2 linked regions of the Stegostoma tigrinum genome follow. The protein of the gene in region 1 interacts with the protein of each later gene in a pairwise test. Links are inferred from orthologs where the notes say so. Each region holds a gene or a part of one and is shown on either strand. Other genes may lie near its edges.

What was found.
Region 2: the proteins of rapgef4a (region 1) and switch-associated protein 70-like interact in a two-hybrid assay, tested with the Homo sapiens proteins (2 studies listed by BioGRID and IntAct). The link is inferred for Stegostoma tigrinum from reciprocal best matches to the Homo sapiens genes RAPGEF4 and SWAP70.

What each region holds. Positions count from the first base shown.
Region 1 is NC_081360.1:48,900,992-48,908,786, reverse strand, and holds the start of rapgef4a (rap guanine nucleotide exchange factor 4), read left to right. Parts: upstream 1-4,775; 5' UTR 4,776-5,193; coding exon 5,194-5,276; intron 5,277-7,795.
Region 2 is NC_081370.1:27,202,157-27,210,084, forward strand, and holds the start of switch-associated protein 70-like, read right to left. Parts: upstream 3,003-7,928; 5' UTR 2,886-3,002; coding exon 2,790-2,885; intron 1-2,789.

The DNA.
Region 1 (7,795 bases):
AAGTTAAACAATGCAATACTCTACAGGTGACGTCTCACCCATGGCCTGTATAAATGTAGCATATGCTCCCTACTCCAATATTCATCTCATAACATTTTATTAGTGGTCCTCATGACTCTCTGTACCTGCATTTATCCTTTTGGATTCATATATGAGGATACCCAGATCCCATTGAATCTCAAAGTTCTGCAACCTCTCACCATTTAGATTGTACACTTCTTTTTAATTTTTCCTGCCCAAATGGATAATTTCACATACCACATTGGTCACATCCTTTCCCATTTACTTAACCTATCTACACACTTCTTTGGTGTCATTGTTGTCTTCACAACTTACGTTCCTAACTTACCTTTGTGTTGTCAGAACATTTGGCAACCATGCCTTCTGTCCCTTTATCTAAGCTATTTATATAAATTATAAACAGTTGAAGTCCCAGAACCAATCCCTGTGTGACACCATTTGTTACATGGTGCTAATCCAAAAAAGACCATCAGGCCTACTATCTGCTTCTTGATAGCCGTTGTCTGCTGTTCTTTATATTGACCAGCCATTTGACCTGCAACTCATCTCTGCACATTTATATGCTTTTTCCTTATGTTTGAAGTTTTCATCAAGCTCTTTAGTTCACCACAGATGATAGGTCCTCGCAGTAGAATTTTTCTTCAAAGTATGAACATACTAATTCAGAGTTTTCTAGAAAATAACATCCTTTAACTATCTGCCACTGTGTCTGTATTGAGAGCAGACCTTGACGAATTATAATGCCCTGAGGATGTTAAAGGTATGATTTAATTGGCAGTTCTTTCTTTCTTACTGTGTATTTCAGATTTAAAGTGTGCAAGACAAAAGTATGGAATGATCATCCTCCCTATTGTCACTGATCTTCATTGCTTTGAACGACACAAATAGGAAGTGATCAATTTTCTCTGAAACCTACCAAACAGGGCAGGAATATTTCATCAATGGGTGAATAATAGGTATGCTAGAAATTGCTAATGACTAAGTATCATCACTTTTTCGTAAGATTTCCCATCCATATTTACAAATTATTTTGCTCAGCATAGATTTGTTGTAATTACTGAGTTAAAAAGCTGCATACTTTCAGTCTAACATAGGAGGTTAGGATGAAATGTGACACATTTTCTTCATTACAGGAGATAATGATTTATTCACCCTACGAGGTTAAAATAGAATAATTTTCACTGGTTAGGTGGCTTGACACCTGGAAGGTACACATTTGGTACTAAATTAAATAAAATGAAGGTATGCTGTTGCAAATTCAGCTCTGTTTTAGACCATAAGGAGACCATAAGACATAAAACCATAAGACATAGGAGTGGAAGTAAGGCCATTCGGCCCATCAAGTCCACTCTGCCATTTAAATCATGGCTGATGGGCATTTCAACACCATTTCCCTGCACTCTCCCCATAGCCCTTGATAAGGGTTCTGGTTCAGTGGTGTTTGTGGTTTCTGTAAATAGTCTGAGTATTTTTAATTGAGTTAACTCACAATCCTTTTTAAGCCTCTTGCATAGCAGCTTATCACCTGAACTGGGTATTTGAATCTTGTGTGACTATGTTGTCAACTTGTTCTCAGACAGACCATGCAAACACTTAGCAAAACAAGTGCAAACACAAAGCAAAAGATTGCCTTTTCTCACAATGAGAGAATGTGCAGAGTAAAAGTTATCATCTGATCTCTTTCATACAATCAATGCAGCTTGTGATCACAATAATATAAAACAATGAATACACTATGCTTCCCCACAAAGTTAGTTATCTGGCACCAAAGAAATTGCATGTTGTTTAGGCTATAATGAGGCAATTTCAAGAGCTGTTTATTAGCATCTCATCCACCTACTGTTTCAAAGCCATATTTTTAAATAGTTGTCCATCTCTATCCTACTTCAACCCATTTTCTGCTGTATACTTTTCCTTGCCCTTCAGAGCTGCAGATTAAAGTTTTCAGATTTCCAATGCTCTACTCATCTTACTCTGTCACGCTGGTTTGAGGATGACTTGTTTCCATTCTGATTCAAGGAGATATGAGATCACTGATAAATCCAAAGCGTCTCCTGTGGACTTGGTCCCATGCTTGGAGGGGTGGCTAGACGGAAATTTGTGTGCCTTCCGATGCCATAACTTTGCCTCTGTGTGCTTAATGAAATGTCTCAATGCTTTCCAGAATGAATCTTCTTGATCAGTCATAAGCCAGGGGTTGTCATGAGTAGACGGGGATGCTTTGAGGACTTCGATAACGTGTTTCCACTGTTCACCCAGCAGACTTCTGCCTCCGCCTGTTACATATGAAATAGAAGACAGAGTAGGCACGCAGTCTGTCACACTTGCCCCACTATTCAATAAGATCATGGCTGATCTGTCCCAGTCCTCAACTCTTTCCTCATGTCAGCTCTTAATAGTTCTCAATTTCTCAATATTTTCAAAAATCTATCTACTTTTTCGTTAAATACTTTCAAGTGATCTAGTCTCCACGAATTTCTGGGAGTTGAGAATTCCAGACATTCACTACCCTCTGAGGGAAAACATTTCTTTGCACCTGAGTTTTAAATAAACATCACCTTATTCTACAATTGTGGTCCCTAGTTTGAAATCCCCACTACTGGAAATATCTTCTCAGTGTGAGCCCTGCATCAAAATCTTATGTCTCAATAAGATCACTCCCTCATTCTTCTAAACTCTAATAAAGAAAATGCCTAACTTGTTTAGCCTTTCTTCCCAGGAAACAGCCCAGTGAATTTATTTTGAATTGTCTCCAATACCAGTATATTCTTTACTAAATACGCAAAACAAATGTGTGCACAGTTCTCCAGGTGCAGCCTCACAACACATCCTGTGTTGTTGTTAACAAGATTTCCCTGATTTTAAACTCCAACTCTGTTACAAGAAAGGCTAAAATTCTAGTTTCTTTCTTATTTACTTTCTGTTTCCGAGTTTTGAGTAGAACAGTAGCTTCAGGAGTGTGATGCCTGTCTTAAATGTCCTGTTCAACAGAACTGGTTTTGACTGACCAAACTTATGCTGTTATTTTAGGAGAGGATGTTTTTCTATCATCCCTGAACTCACAAACTCACAATGGCTACCAGTTCAACAACAGCTTAATTTAACATTCCCATCATTGTATTCACATCTCTTCATAGTGCCCCAAGCTCTGCACCCCCGTAGGAACTCTGCATTCTTCTAAATCAGTCTTCCTGTAATCTGCTGACTTACTTTGCCCTCACCATCAGCAACGACATCTTTAGCTCTCTCTTTTGATACATGTAGAAGTGAAGTAACTTTTGAAAATATCTTTCTTGTGGAAGAGGTCAAAAGTCCCCAAATTGTGACTGCATTTTAACAGAACGGATCTCAGAACATAATGTGACTTACCAGAAATAATGCCATACAATAGCTTTTTATAGCTACAGCTAATAGTTGGGAGGCAATGGCCTCGTGGTATATTTGCTGAATTGTTAATCCAGAGACTCAGATAACATTCTGGGAACCTGGGTTTGAATCCCACCATGGCTGATGGTGGAATTTGAATTCAATAAATATCTGGAATTAGGAGTCTAATGATGACTGTGAATCCATTGTTGATTCTTAGAAAAAAACCCCATCTGGTTCACCAATGTCCTTTAGGGAAGGAAACTGCCATCCTTATCCGGTCTGGTCTACATATGACTCCAGACCCACAGTAATGTGGTTGACTCTTAAATGCCCTCCAGGGATTGGGAATGGGCAATAAATGTTGCCTCACCAGTGACACCCTCATCCTGCAAATGAATAAAGAAAAAAATTATTGAGGATTTTAAAAGGGAAATGTATAAATATTTGGGGAAATACAGTATGGTTAAGGACAATGCAATGGGACTAAATAAGCAGGTATTTTGGAGAGCTATATAGGTGCTCTGGGCCTAATTGATTTTGTGTTTTACATTTCTAGCTGAAGAACATGTGCAATCTTATATATCGTATACAGTCGATCCTTATGAACAGAAATATTGTAGTAATTTCAGTGCTAATTCATCTGTCTTTTTTTTAAAATACTGCATAGATTCAGCACTATTTGTTTAAATCTCCAGGTCAAAAAAAGTCCCTGTTTTAATTCCTGTAAGATTGTTTAAAGATTGTGGTAAAGTCACATTCTACATTGATGCAGTGCTATTCTACAAAAAAAGCACAAAAAACTGAACCTGTCGAATCTGAAATTGAAAATAGCAAATTCTACAGACATTGAACAAGTCAGGGAACTGTATTGTCCTTTTGGGTGTAAGCGCTTTTTCATTGCTCTTCTAAAGTTGCGTAAATAAGATTAATTGGATAGTGAGCCTAATGAATTATGTGTTCAAGTCAGTTCCCCAGTATTAATAATCTTCACCCTAGATTAATCAATTCAGCCGCAACAAGAAACTGTCAGGCAAGAGATCTGTGCAAGCGATGTAAACGGTAGAGGCAAATTAATGATCCATACAGTAAGTCCTCAGTGCTAATAATAATAATAATGCATCGGCTTTTGAAATCTTGTTCACCTTGCTTTGAATTGTGAAGACTTCGCCCTCTATTGCAAAGTATCTAACTGATCTTAAATGGAAAGCGTTAATATAGTTAGGACCAAGTTAAAACATAATCAGCATTGTAATCCGGATATTTGTAATGCTGATACTTTTTACGTTGAGTGTTAACGCCTTCAATTTTACTGCCAGCGCAATGTTGAATGTGTACACCGAGCCCTACCGGCAGTTCAGTCGGATAGTTTATCGGAAGACGGCAAAGTGCAGGATGTCACGTGTGGCGTGGAATGAATGTGGAGTACAGTAGCCGAGCAGCAGGTTTCACTGTGAGATGCTGAACGTTTGTACTTGTTGCACAGAGGGGCTGGTGTTCAGTCGGCAGCGCAGTGGTATCTCTCACCCCCCCTGCTGTCAGCTCTCCGCAGCGGCTTGGGTCCTTGCGTTCCTTCTCTCTCTTGGCTGCAGACAGCTGCCGTGGCCATTCGACTGCAAACTGCACTTTCCCTTTTGCTGAGGCACGAAGCGCTCCTGTCTAGCTTCAGCACTCTGACGTCAAAAGGGGTTGTTTTTGCTCCCAGCTTTGGAGCTGTAAATGTGAGGAGATGATTTTCGCAGCAACCAGCTCCTCCTGACTCCGTCGTTCTCTTGTTTGCTACAAGTCCGTGCAGCTGCTGAGCCCATGATCTCCCTGGCCATGGTGGCTGCTCATACCTCGTCCCAGTCCTCAGCATCATCAGAATGGATCTCTTGCCTGGATAAAAGGTAGCGAATGTCAACTGGGAACCCCCGACATAGGGCAGGAAGTAGAAATAATGCGATCGAGATTTCTTAGCTGTAGCGCGACTGGGGAATTCTTTCTGTCTGCAGAAAATGAAATCAAGGGATGTGATGCTAACAAAGACGCTTAATGATTTTGGAATATCCCACAGTAGCAGGCAGGCAGGATGGAAGATGGTAACGCGGATAAGAGATGCTATCCCTCGATCGCTGCGTAATATCGATATTAAAATAAATCTATATACATACATATCATGCAGTGCAGGCAATTTTCCTTGTTTCTAAATCAGACTGGTTTATTTAAAACGCACAAGTAAGCAACGCGGTAGGAGAATTGTGTTATTTTGTGCATTTAAATCCTACACAAATATTGAAGCTGTATTTAAATATATACCTTTAAAAGCGACACTGGTCATTTTTGCAGACAATTACTGCAGACTTAGATTTTTAACGTTTTATGTGAAAAATGTACATTCCTGAACCGCGTGTTTCAGTGGGGATAAGATGGTATGAGTTTAGTGTCCATTTCCATCAGTTGGAACAAAACAGTGGCTAAAAGGCAAGACAGCGTGGAGATGTAGGCCTCCCTTTTACATCAAAGCGATGTTACAGAGTTTGTATCCTTTAAATTAGTAACGTTGCATGGTTTATTCTTGGGCAACTACGGATTTCCTCTGGCAGTAATGACTCGAAATGCGTTCGTGAAATCTGTCAACATTTTGTACTTGAAATTACATACGACCTTTTAAATCTGTGGCTCTAGTAAAATAGATACCCGATAACTGAACTGTGCTCCTAATATATATGCAGAAATTGTGATGGTTACTACTTGGTACCTTTCAAAATGGTTTGGTTTTAAAATACACACAAACACGTTTATGTTTATATCCACAGGACAGTAAACCCCAATAAGCAAACGCGGAAAACTTTGAGTGTGTACGTCATTCAGTGATATATTGTGGATTGACTAAAATTGAATATCAATTTAAAATAGTGTTTGAACAACCAATTCCAAGGTAGTAATACAAGCTCAAATATTAGATGACAGTTAACCTTGTGAAAGCTTTGCATCTGGCATTGTTATATTATAGCAGATAATAATCTAAAAAAAGGTAGCTAATAAGAAAGTAAAGGCAATGAAAGCAAATTATGTAGAAATTCATATCAGGTAATGAGAAACATTAATGTTCACTTAGGCTTATCAAATCATAGAATTATACAGTACAGAAGAGACCGTTCATCCCATTGAGTCTGTACAACTAAAATGCCCTACTACCTCCTAGTCTCACTTTCCTGTACAAGCCCCATAGCCAATGTTAATGACACTTCAAGTGCTTGCCCACCTACTTTTTAAGGATTGTGAGAGTTCCTGCCTAAACTAAGCTCCCAGGCGGTGCATTCCAGTTTCCCAACTCTCTGGGTGAAAATGCTTTTTTTCACATCCCCTCTAAACCTCCTGCCTTTCACTTTATAATTATGACACTTCGACTAAGAGGAACAGCTGCTTTCTATTCACTTTTGTCCAAGCCCATCATAATCCTTTACAGCTCCATCAGAATCCACCTCCCCCAACAACTTTCTCTGCTGTGAAGAAAAGAACCCCAACTTATTTAGCTATTCTTCAGAGCTCCAGTGCTCCATCCCAGGCAATATTCTGGTGAATCTCCTTTGCACCCATTCAGTTCAATCTCTTCTTTCATATGCACACGGTACTCCAGCTGTGGCCTAACCAAAGTGCTGTACAGATCCAACAGAACCTCTCTGCTCATAGAGTCTATGCCATGACTGATAAAGGCAAGGATCTCATACTCTGCCAGAACATAGAACAGCACACAACAGAAACAGGCCCTTCTGCCCACTGGTATGTGCCAACCGGTATGCCATTCTAAATTAATCCGATCTGCCTGGACATGATCCATATCTCGCCATTCCCTGCCTGTTCATGTGTCTGTTGCTATCATAATCTGTTTCTACCGCCTCCTGTGGCAGAATGTTCCATGCGCATATCACACTCTGTGTAAAAAAAAATTACTTCATACATCTCCTTTAAACTTGCCCTCTCTCACCTTAAACCTGTACTCCCTGGTATTTGAGATAATGAGAACTGCAGATGCTGGAGAATCCGAGATAACAAAGTGTGAAGCTGGATGAACACAGCAGGCCAAGCAGCATTTTAGGAGCACAGAACCTGAAGTTTCGGGCCTAGACCCTTCATCAGAAAAGGGGGATGAGGAGAGGGTTCTGAAAGAGATAGGGAGAGAAGGGGAGGCAGATCAAAGATGGATAGAGGAGAAGATAGGTGGAGAGGAGACAGACAAGTTAAAGGGGCAGGGATGGAGCCTGTAGAGGAGTGTATAGGTGGGGAGGTAGGGAGGGGATAGGTCAGTCCGGGGAGGATGGACAGGTCAAGGGGGTGGGATGAGGTTAGTAGGTAGAAAATGGAGGTGTGGCTTGAGGTGGGAGGTGGGGATAGGTGAGAGGAAGGACAGGTTAAGGAGGCGATT
Region 2 (7,928 bases), on another chromosome or scaffold:
CTATAACCTAAAAAGTTCATCCAGAGATTAGATGAATCATACAAGCTATGATGATGGAGGGTCACTTCCTTGCCTGTAATGTGTGAGCTGATCTGAGCCACTGAAATACAAATGCCCTCATTAAAACTGCTACCCGATGCATAGTATTGATTCCATATGACTTCTGAAAGCAGAGTAGCTGCCTGGATACGTAGCAAACAATTTTTGGTAACAATCAGTGGAAAAACAAGGCTAGAAGCCTCAAACATAATCTGTATGTACGACAATCACAGTTCTGTGTGGACTGCATCTGATGCCTTCCTTAGCTCTGGTTACGCTTTACTAAGTTATCTTTTAAATAAAAAGAGGTTAAAAACAAATTTAATGGAATATTCTTTTCCTCCCCGCAGAGCTATCGCTTTTACTTTAAATTCCACTAAAAGTAATGGTGCATAACAAATCCTCCAATTCCTCCACCCAAGTGGTTATTCTTCAGGTATAATGCAGACAATGGACATAGGTAGATGATTTGACCACTTGATGCATCACAGTTAAACCCAATCTTAAACTCCTACATCTGTCCTTCACAGCATAACTCACTGAATTGCAGCAAAAACTTTTATTTTTCATTTCTTTATCTCAAAATGAATTGAAGCCAACTGTGGCATCTGAATACACCCTAAGACTACCTAAATTAGAAACGAGGGTGGAACCTGGGACCTCATCACCTATTAAACACAATGTGGAGGTGCCAGTATTGGACTGGGGTGGACAAGGTTAGGAGTCATATAACACCAGGTTATAGTCCAACAAATTTATTTGAAATCACAAGCTTTTGTAGCATTGCCCCAAAGTGAAAGTTTGTGATTTCAAATAAATCTATTAGACTGCAACCTGGCATTGACTTCTGACCTCATGCTAACCATTTGCATGGGTGAGATGATTACAACTATTAAAAACATAGGATGAAATTTTCTAAAATATCCTATTTCACAGAAGAGCAAGGATATGGAATTGATGCAGATATGCTCCTGCTTTCCCATTGAAAATAATTTGAAATGCACATCAACAAAAGCACCAGTTTCATCCCGGAGGCTTTGGAATGCACTAACTCTCGGTTATGACAGTCCCTGTAACAAATGATCTGAGTTCCCTTCAGGCACACAATTAAGAAGTCACAATGGAAACTGTAACCATTCACTGACCATTTTGTCATTCACAACCTAATTTCCTAGCAATCTTATTGATGTACACAAAAATGGGCAAAAACAATCCAAAAAATGATCAGACTTCTTCAAGTACAGAAATTAAAAACATCAAGTTACCTAACTATCACTTAAGCACACTGGGCACAGGGTAGGATCAGGGTCAAAATCATGCAGTGTATTAACATTGATTGCAGCTAATAAAAGAAGAGAATGCAGCTCAGCCAGGATAATCAGCATAATTCTAAAAAATTGGCATTTCTGGTTTCTAGCAGGATCATCATAATGAGCTGAGTTGCATTTCAACACAGGAATGGAGAGATGGGAACAGAAGAGTACATTCAGGAGCAGCATTCTTAGGCAGATAATGTGACTTCATCCTTACTTCCTCAATATTTTGAGCCAAGTTCTCTGTTCCCCCACCCCTTCTAATTACATGCATCTCCAAGTGCAAATGTTTTTATATCGACTTGTGGGACATGAGGGTTACTGGCTGGCCAGCACTTACTACTCATCCCTAGTTACCCTTGAGAAGGTGGTGAGGTGCCTTCTAGAACCACTGCAGTCCATGTGCCACAGGTTGACCCACAATGTCCTGGATTATACAACTACATATTAAAATCCAGCCTACAAGGCAGTTTCACTAACAAAGTTCCTTAATTGATGGCAATTAAATACACAAGGAAACAAACACATTGTGCACAATGCAGTAAATATTTAGCATTTCACCATTCACTAATACATCTTAAAACAGGGAACACACAAAAGAAATAGCATTGCAAATGAAGACAGAACAGAAAATTAGTCTATTATTCATGGCCTGCTGAAAGAAATTTTAAAAATCTCTTCTTTAAAGAAGAAATGAATTTTTCTCAGTTACATTTTATAGAAAAAAATGTGGATGAACTTTGAAAATAACCTCATCCCTTCACAAGGCAGATCAAATTCTAGAAATCCCTCAAACATTCGACAATCACTAAAAGGATCTTGCACAATCTGTTTTCAAATTTCATTGCTGAGATCAGATACCAAGTGTCACAGTTTTAGTGGAAAATGAATGGTAACAGTAAAGCATAAAGTATACAGTAGCAGCCTGCAGGTCTATGCCAAGGAAGAGGAGGAACTGGTGTATCTCTCATACAGCCCTGCCCTCGCCCGATATAGCTCACACCAACACAGGTCCCACAGTCCAGGAAAGCCCTTGCCACAGTCCAGCCCTCACCCAACAGAGCCCACATCAACACAGGTTCCTCAGTCCAGCCCTGAGCCAACACAGCCCACAACAGCACAGCGCCTTCAGTCCAACAAGACCCTTAACACAACACAGCCCACACCGCACAGGTCCCACAGCCTAAAACAACCCTCAACTCTAACCAGCATCTCACTTCCCTCAACACAGCAGCGCTGACCAGTCCAGCACCCTCACCCCTTTAACACTGGCCAGACCAGTACAGCTCCCACAGTCCAACAAACCCCTCTCAACACGGCCCTGCCGCTCTCTGATCCCGCTCTCCACCCCCTCGAAAAACAGCCCGGGTCCCCTCACCTCCAGCCTATCTTAATGCAAATAGCTACCAAACTCAACAAAAAGAATCTCAAACTCGCCTTGAGTTGGGATTTGGACACTTTTCCACATTTGTCGACGTCTAGAGCGGTAAATGCATGCCAGATCACTTTCAAAAGCTCATCTCGAAGCGCCATTCCTGTCTCTTACGTGACCGTTTTGCTTTCACTGTACAGTCACTGGCCGCAATCTCCCAGCGGTGTAACCCAACCCTTCCGCACGTCCGTTACCGGCTCGGCGCAGTTCACATTCCCAGAGAGGAACTCCACCCACAAACTACAGTGCCCAAACTGAAAGGGACTCATTGTAATTCCTCAGACTGCACCATTGCAGAAAACTCACGCTTTAAATCAAACAGTAAATCACAGAATTTACACGTAGATGTATTTTATGGCTAAACTGTACTCCACTTCAGAAACGCGAAGGTGCTTGTTCAAACCAGAAACATTGAGGAAATAATACTCAAAAGCAATTTATCAAAGGGACAAAGTGTTTTTAACCCGATCAAGTGCTCAATATTCTTCCAAAGTTGTACGTCAATTCTGAACGGTTAAACAAGTTGGCGCAAAGCAGGGCAGAATTGTCATCGGCTAAAATCACTCAAATTTTACAACCGACAATCTCCAATAAGAAGCACCTCTCAATTTTACCCATGCAACGCTTCTACGGGGTTACTTAAATGGTGGAAACAACTATGACTGGTGAGCAATTAGAACTTGAAGACTTTTGCCGATATTTTACTTTCATCATTTTTAAATAATCCATGAACCAAATAAAAAATACAATGCGTCATAATTTATACTTGTTCGGCGTCATTCATTTCAAAACCTCGAAATTTTTGGTTTAAGACTTCGGAATTACAGAATCTTAGAGCACGGCAGGCCAATAAGGCCATCATGTCTGTACTGGTTCTTAGAAAGAACAGTCGAATTTAGTTGTACTTGCCAAATACATGTCCAATTGCCTCATAAAATTTCCTAAATAATTTAATTCCACCCCTGTGTCAGGTAGTGCATTCTAGGTCACAAAAGTTTTCTGTACAAGAAATGTGGCTGTGTCCTCTCTTGTTCTTTTGCCAGTAATTTAAATTTATAAACTCTGCTTATGAACTCACTCTCCAAAGAAGTTTCTTCCTACTTGCTCTAGTTAAAACATAATAATTGTTAGGTCTCCCCTTAACTTTCTCTACCCGAAGAACGCAACCCCAGCTTCACCAATCTCCCAAAATAACTGAATTCTCTCATCGTGGGTGTGGATATCCTATGCACCTTCTCCAAGGTCTTGGCATCATTTGAAATTGGCACCTCCATGTTAAAATGATAACTTACTGAGATGTGGTCATCGCTATCTGGGCTAGCATTTATTGCTCACCTCAAACTGCCTTGAAAAGGTGGTGGTGTTGAGATGTCTCCTTAAAGCACTACAGTCTCTATGGGTAGGCAAACCCACATTGCTGTTCAGAGGGCCTTGGGATTTTGACCCAGTGACAGTGAAGAACGGCAATATAGTTGCCAGTCAGGATGATGTGTGGCTTGGGAAAGGAACACAGAAGGGAATTGTGCACAACACCCCATCTGAGGTAATAACTAGACATATAACAGAGGGCTACGCAGCATGTATTGCCCAGAAGGCAGTTCAGAGTCAAACACATTGCTGTAGGTCTGGAGTTACATGTAGGCCAGACCAGGTAAGGATGCCAGTTTCCTTCCTTAAACTTGCCTTTATTTATCTTACAGCAGTTTGGCTGTGGCTCAAGTATTAATCTAGAAATTATTACCTCAGAGATTCTACTTTTAAATTAGCTAACTGTTAAAGACTTTTCAGCAAGATCTCATTTTCCAGTTGTTGGTACTGATGTAGACAATGAAACTGGATCCCTCTCTAAGTTTTTCTTCAGCTCTTAGATGTCCTCAACCCTAGCACTGGGCAGGCAACACAGCCTGCTCATGGCTGCAGAGAACAGTATCTATTCCCTAATTATACTGTACCCTATCACAACAACATTCTTTTCTCCTTCTCTGCTTGAATGACTCCCTGTGCCAAGGTGCTCTGATTGGTTTGCTCATTCTCCCTGTAGTCCTTACTCTCACCTGCAGAGCTTGCAAGAACCTCATAACTGTTGGGCAGTTGCAGAGGATAAGCCTCCTCAGTTTTAATCCTCTGGGATGTCACACATGCCTCACCTGCTGTCCTCCCCCTGACCCTGATCACAGAACAATTTTGAATGACCTAATTTGGCTTCCAACTCCATATCATTTTGGATAGTAATTATCTCCAATTATCCATGGCTTTGTAACTCAAATAGCTGTTGGCATTAGGCAGCTAACCCATGTCCACTTGAAGGGGCAAATTTGAGATGAACATGATGATCTGTTCACAACCAAAAACAGAAATTGCTGGAGGAATTTAGTGGGTCTGGCAGCATCTGTGAGAGAAAGCAGAGTGAACATTTCAGGTCCAGTGACCCTTCTTCAGAACTGAAAGACATTTATCTTGTTGCTGTGGAAGCACCAAGTGGCATGCTCTGGGTTGCTGAAATTATTTATTCTTAGTCCCTGAATACACAGTCAGCAACCTAGGGTCATTGTTTCTTTATATAGGGGTGGCAATAGCCTAGTGCTATTATCACTGGACTACTAATACAGAGATCCAGGTAACGTTCCCGGGGCCCAGGTTCACCACAGCAGGTTGTTGGGAAAAACTCGTCTGGTTCACTAAATTCCTTCAGGGAAGGAAACTGTCACCCTTACATAGCCTGGCCTACATGTAACTCCAGACCAACAGCAATGTGTTTGACTGAACCGCCCTCTGGGCAATTCAGGATGGGTGTTAAATGATGCCTCGCCTGCAACACCCTCATCCTGTTAATGAGCAAAGAAATTACTTCACCCCATCTGTGAATGATCTTGTGCTTTACCCAGACATGACAAACATGAAATGATGCTTCAGTGCAGGCCCTATCTTTTGCTGCTGGTTTAGAAAAAAAAACTACTGACATTGTGAATAACTGAAACCAGATACCAAGTTTGTAACTTTAAAAAATTGAACAATTTGTTCTACTAAACCTACTGTGTCATTAATAAAGTTAAACTACAAAATAACCTAATTAATGTCTATGATTCCTTGATTCTAGCCCCCACAGTTAAGGGATAAATCAAGAAAAAAAAAGAGATGCAACTGGCCAGTTCACATAAGCAATCTCAAGGATGCATAATGTGACAGGGGGTGGAATTATGTCATTTTACTTCAGAAGACAAATTAAATTGAATCCTCTCGGACCCTCTGCATGGACACCATCTTTTTTAAACTCCTAATGGCATTTGTTGACCAACAGTCTCATGCCAGTATTCAAGCTCAGATGGAATTTACTTTGGGTTGTATTCACACACAACCCAGCATCAAGACAACCTGATCCCAATCAGTTAGAGATAATGGGAACTGCAGATGCTGGAGATTCCAAGATAATAAAATGTGAGGCTGGATGAACACAGCAGGCCAAGCAGCATCTCAGGAGCACAAAAGCTGACGTTTCGGGCCTAGACCCTTCATCAGAGAGGGGGATGGGGGGAGGGAACTGGAATAAATAGGGAGCGAGGGGGAGGCGGACCGAAGATGGAGAGTAAAGAAGATAGGTGGAGAGAGTATAGGTGGGGAGGTAGGGAGGGGATAGGTCAGTCCAGGGAAGACGGGCAGGTCAAGGAGGTGGGATGAGGTTAGTAGGTAGCTGGGGGTGCGGCTTGGGGTGGGAGGAAGGGATGGGTGAGAGGAAGACCCGGTTAGGGAGGCAGAGACAGGTTGGACTGGTTTTGGGATGCATCCCACCTCCTTGACCTGTCCGTCTTCCCTGGACTGACCTATCCCCTCCCTACCTCCCCACCTACACCCCCTCCACCTATCTTCTTTACTCTCCATCTTCGGTCCGCCTCCCCCTCTCTCCCTATTTATTCCAGTTCCCTCCCCCCATCCCCCTCTCTGAAGAAGGGTCTAGGCCCGAAACGTCAGCTTTTGTGCTCCCGAGATGCTGCTTGGCCTGCTGTGTTCATCCAGCCTCACATTTTATTATCTCCCAATCAGTTAGAGGTGGCTTTGTGTCTCCCATCTTCCACAGGCTAAGCTTCAAATCAGGAAATTGGGTAGTGGAGCTCTCAGATGAAGGTCTTCAATGCGCCACATTTCCTCCACTTGCCAGATGAGCAGGGATTCAACGCTGGACTCTCTTCTACCACCCCCCTACCCCGCACCCCCTCGCCTACCCTCTCACAGAGTGACTAGTGATATCCTTGTTAGCATTTTTCTCCCTCTCCACTTTGTAAGGAGTTTAATTTCAGTGAATAAATAAATAAATTGTTTGGGAAATAAAAACAGTTTATATCCTTAGTTTGTTGTCAACAATCTCAAGTATCATTACAAAAATGACATTAAAGATCATGATTAGAACTTATTGACAAGAAATCCTAATGATTTTCATTTGGGATGCCCCTAGAATTTCAGTTCTTTTGAACTGATAAATGGGAATGAGATGAAAAGACCTCTAATTAATTTAAGAAATCTTTAACACAATGCTCAGAAGCTACAATTCCCACAAATGTGCGTCAAGTATCTGAGAAATATTAACAAAGGGGAGAAACATTAATCAAAGAAAATAGCATGTAATGGATAGACAAGTTGCTGGAAGAAACAGATTACAGCCTCACCAGCTTTGACAAGGAGATAATATTGACTCATTTACTGAGGTTTGAGTGAGGTTATTGCCAGGGCAAAAGGGATGAACCTGTCTTTCTGATATTTGTAATGAGATTGTTCCAATAGTTCTTGTGTAGGGTCATATAATTTATGCTCTTCTCTTGTTTAACCAACTTTTGTTTTCTTTTATTTAAAGTGCATAGAGAGTCTATTGTGCATATGCTCAGTGACTGACCTCCTCAACAAACAAAAGAAAAAATACAACTCAGTTTATCAGGTCACTATCCGCTCGTAAATCTGACTTGTTTAATATCATTAGCTGGGATCATAACAGGTTATAGGCAAAAATAGCATGTACACGTGTTATGCATGGACAGGCCTGTCGGCTGCATCCTTTACACAATAAAAATGCACATCATCCTCTGCCCTAAACTTGACTCATCTGGTCTCTTCATCAGTGAAGGGGTGAGTACGCAGATGTATTGGCACTAGAATAG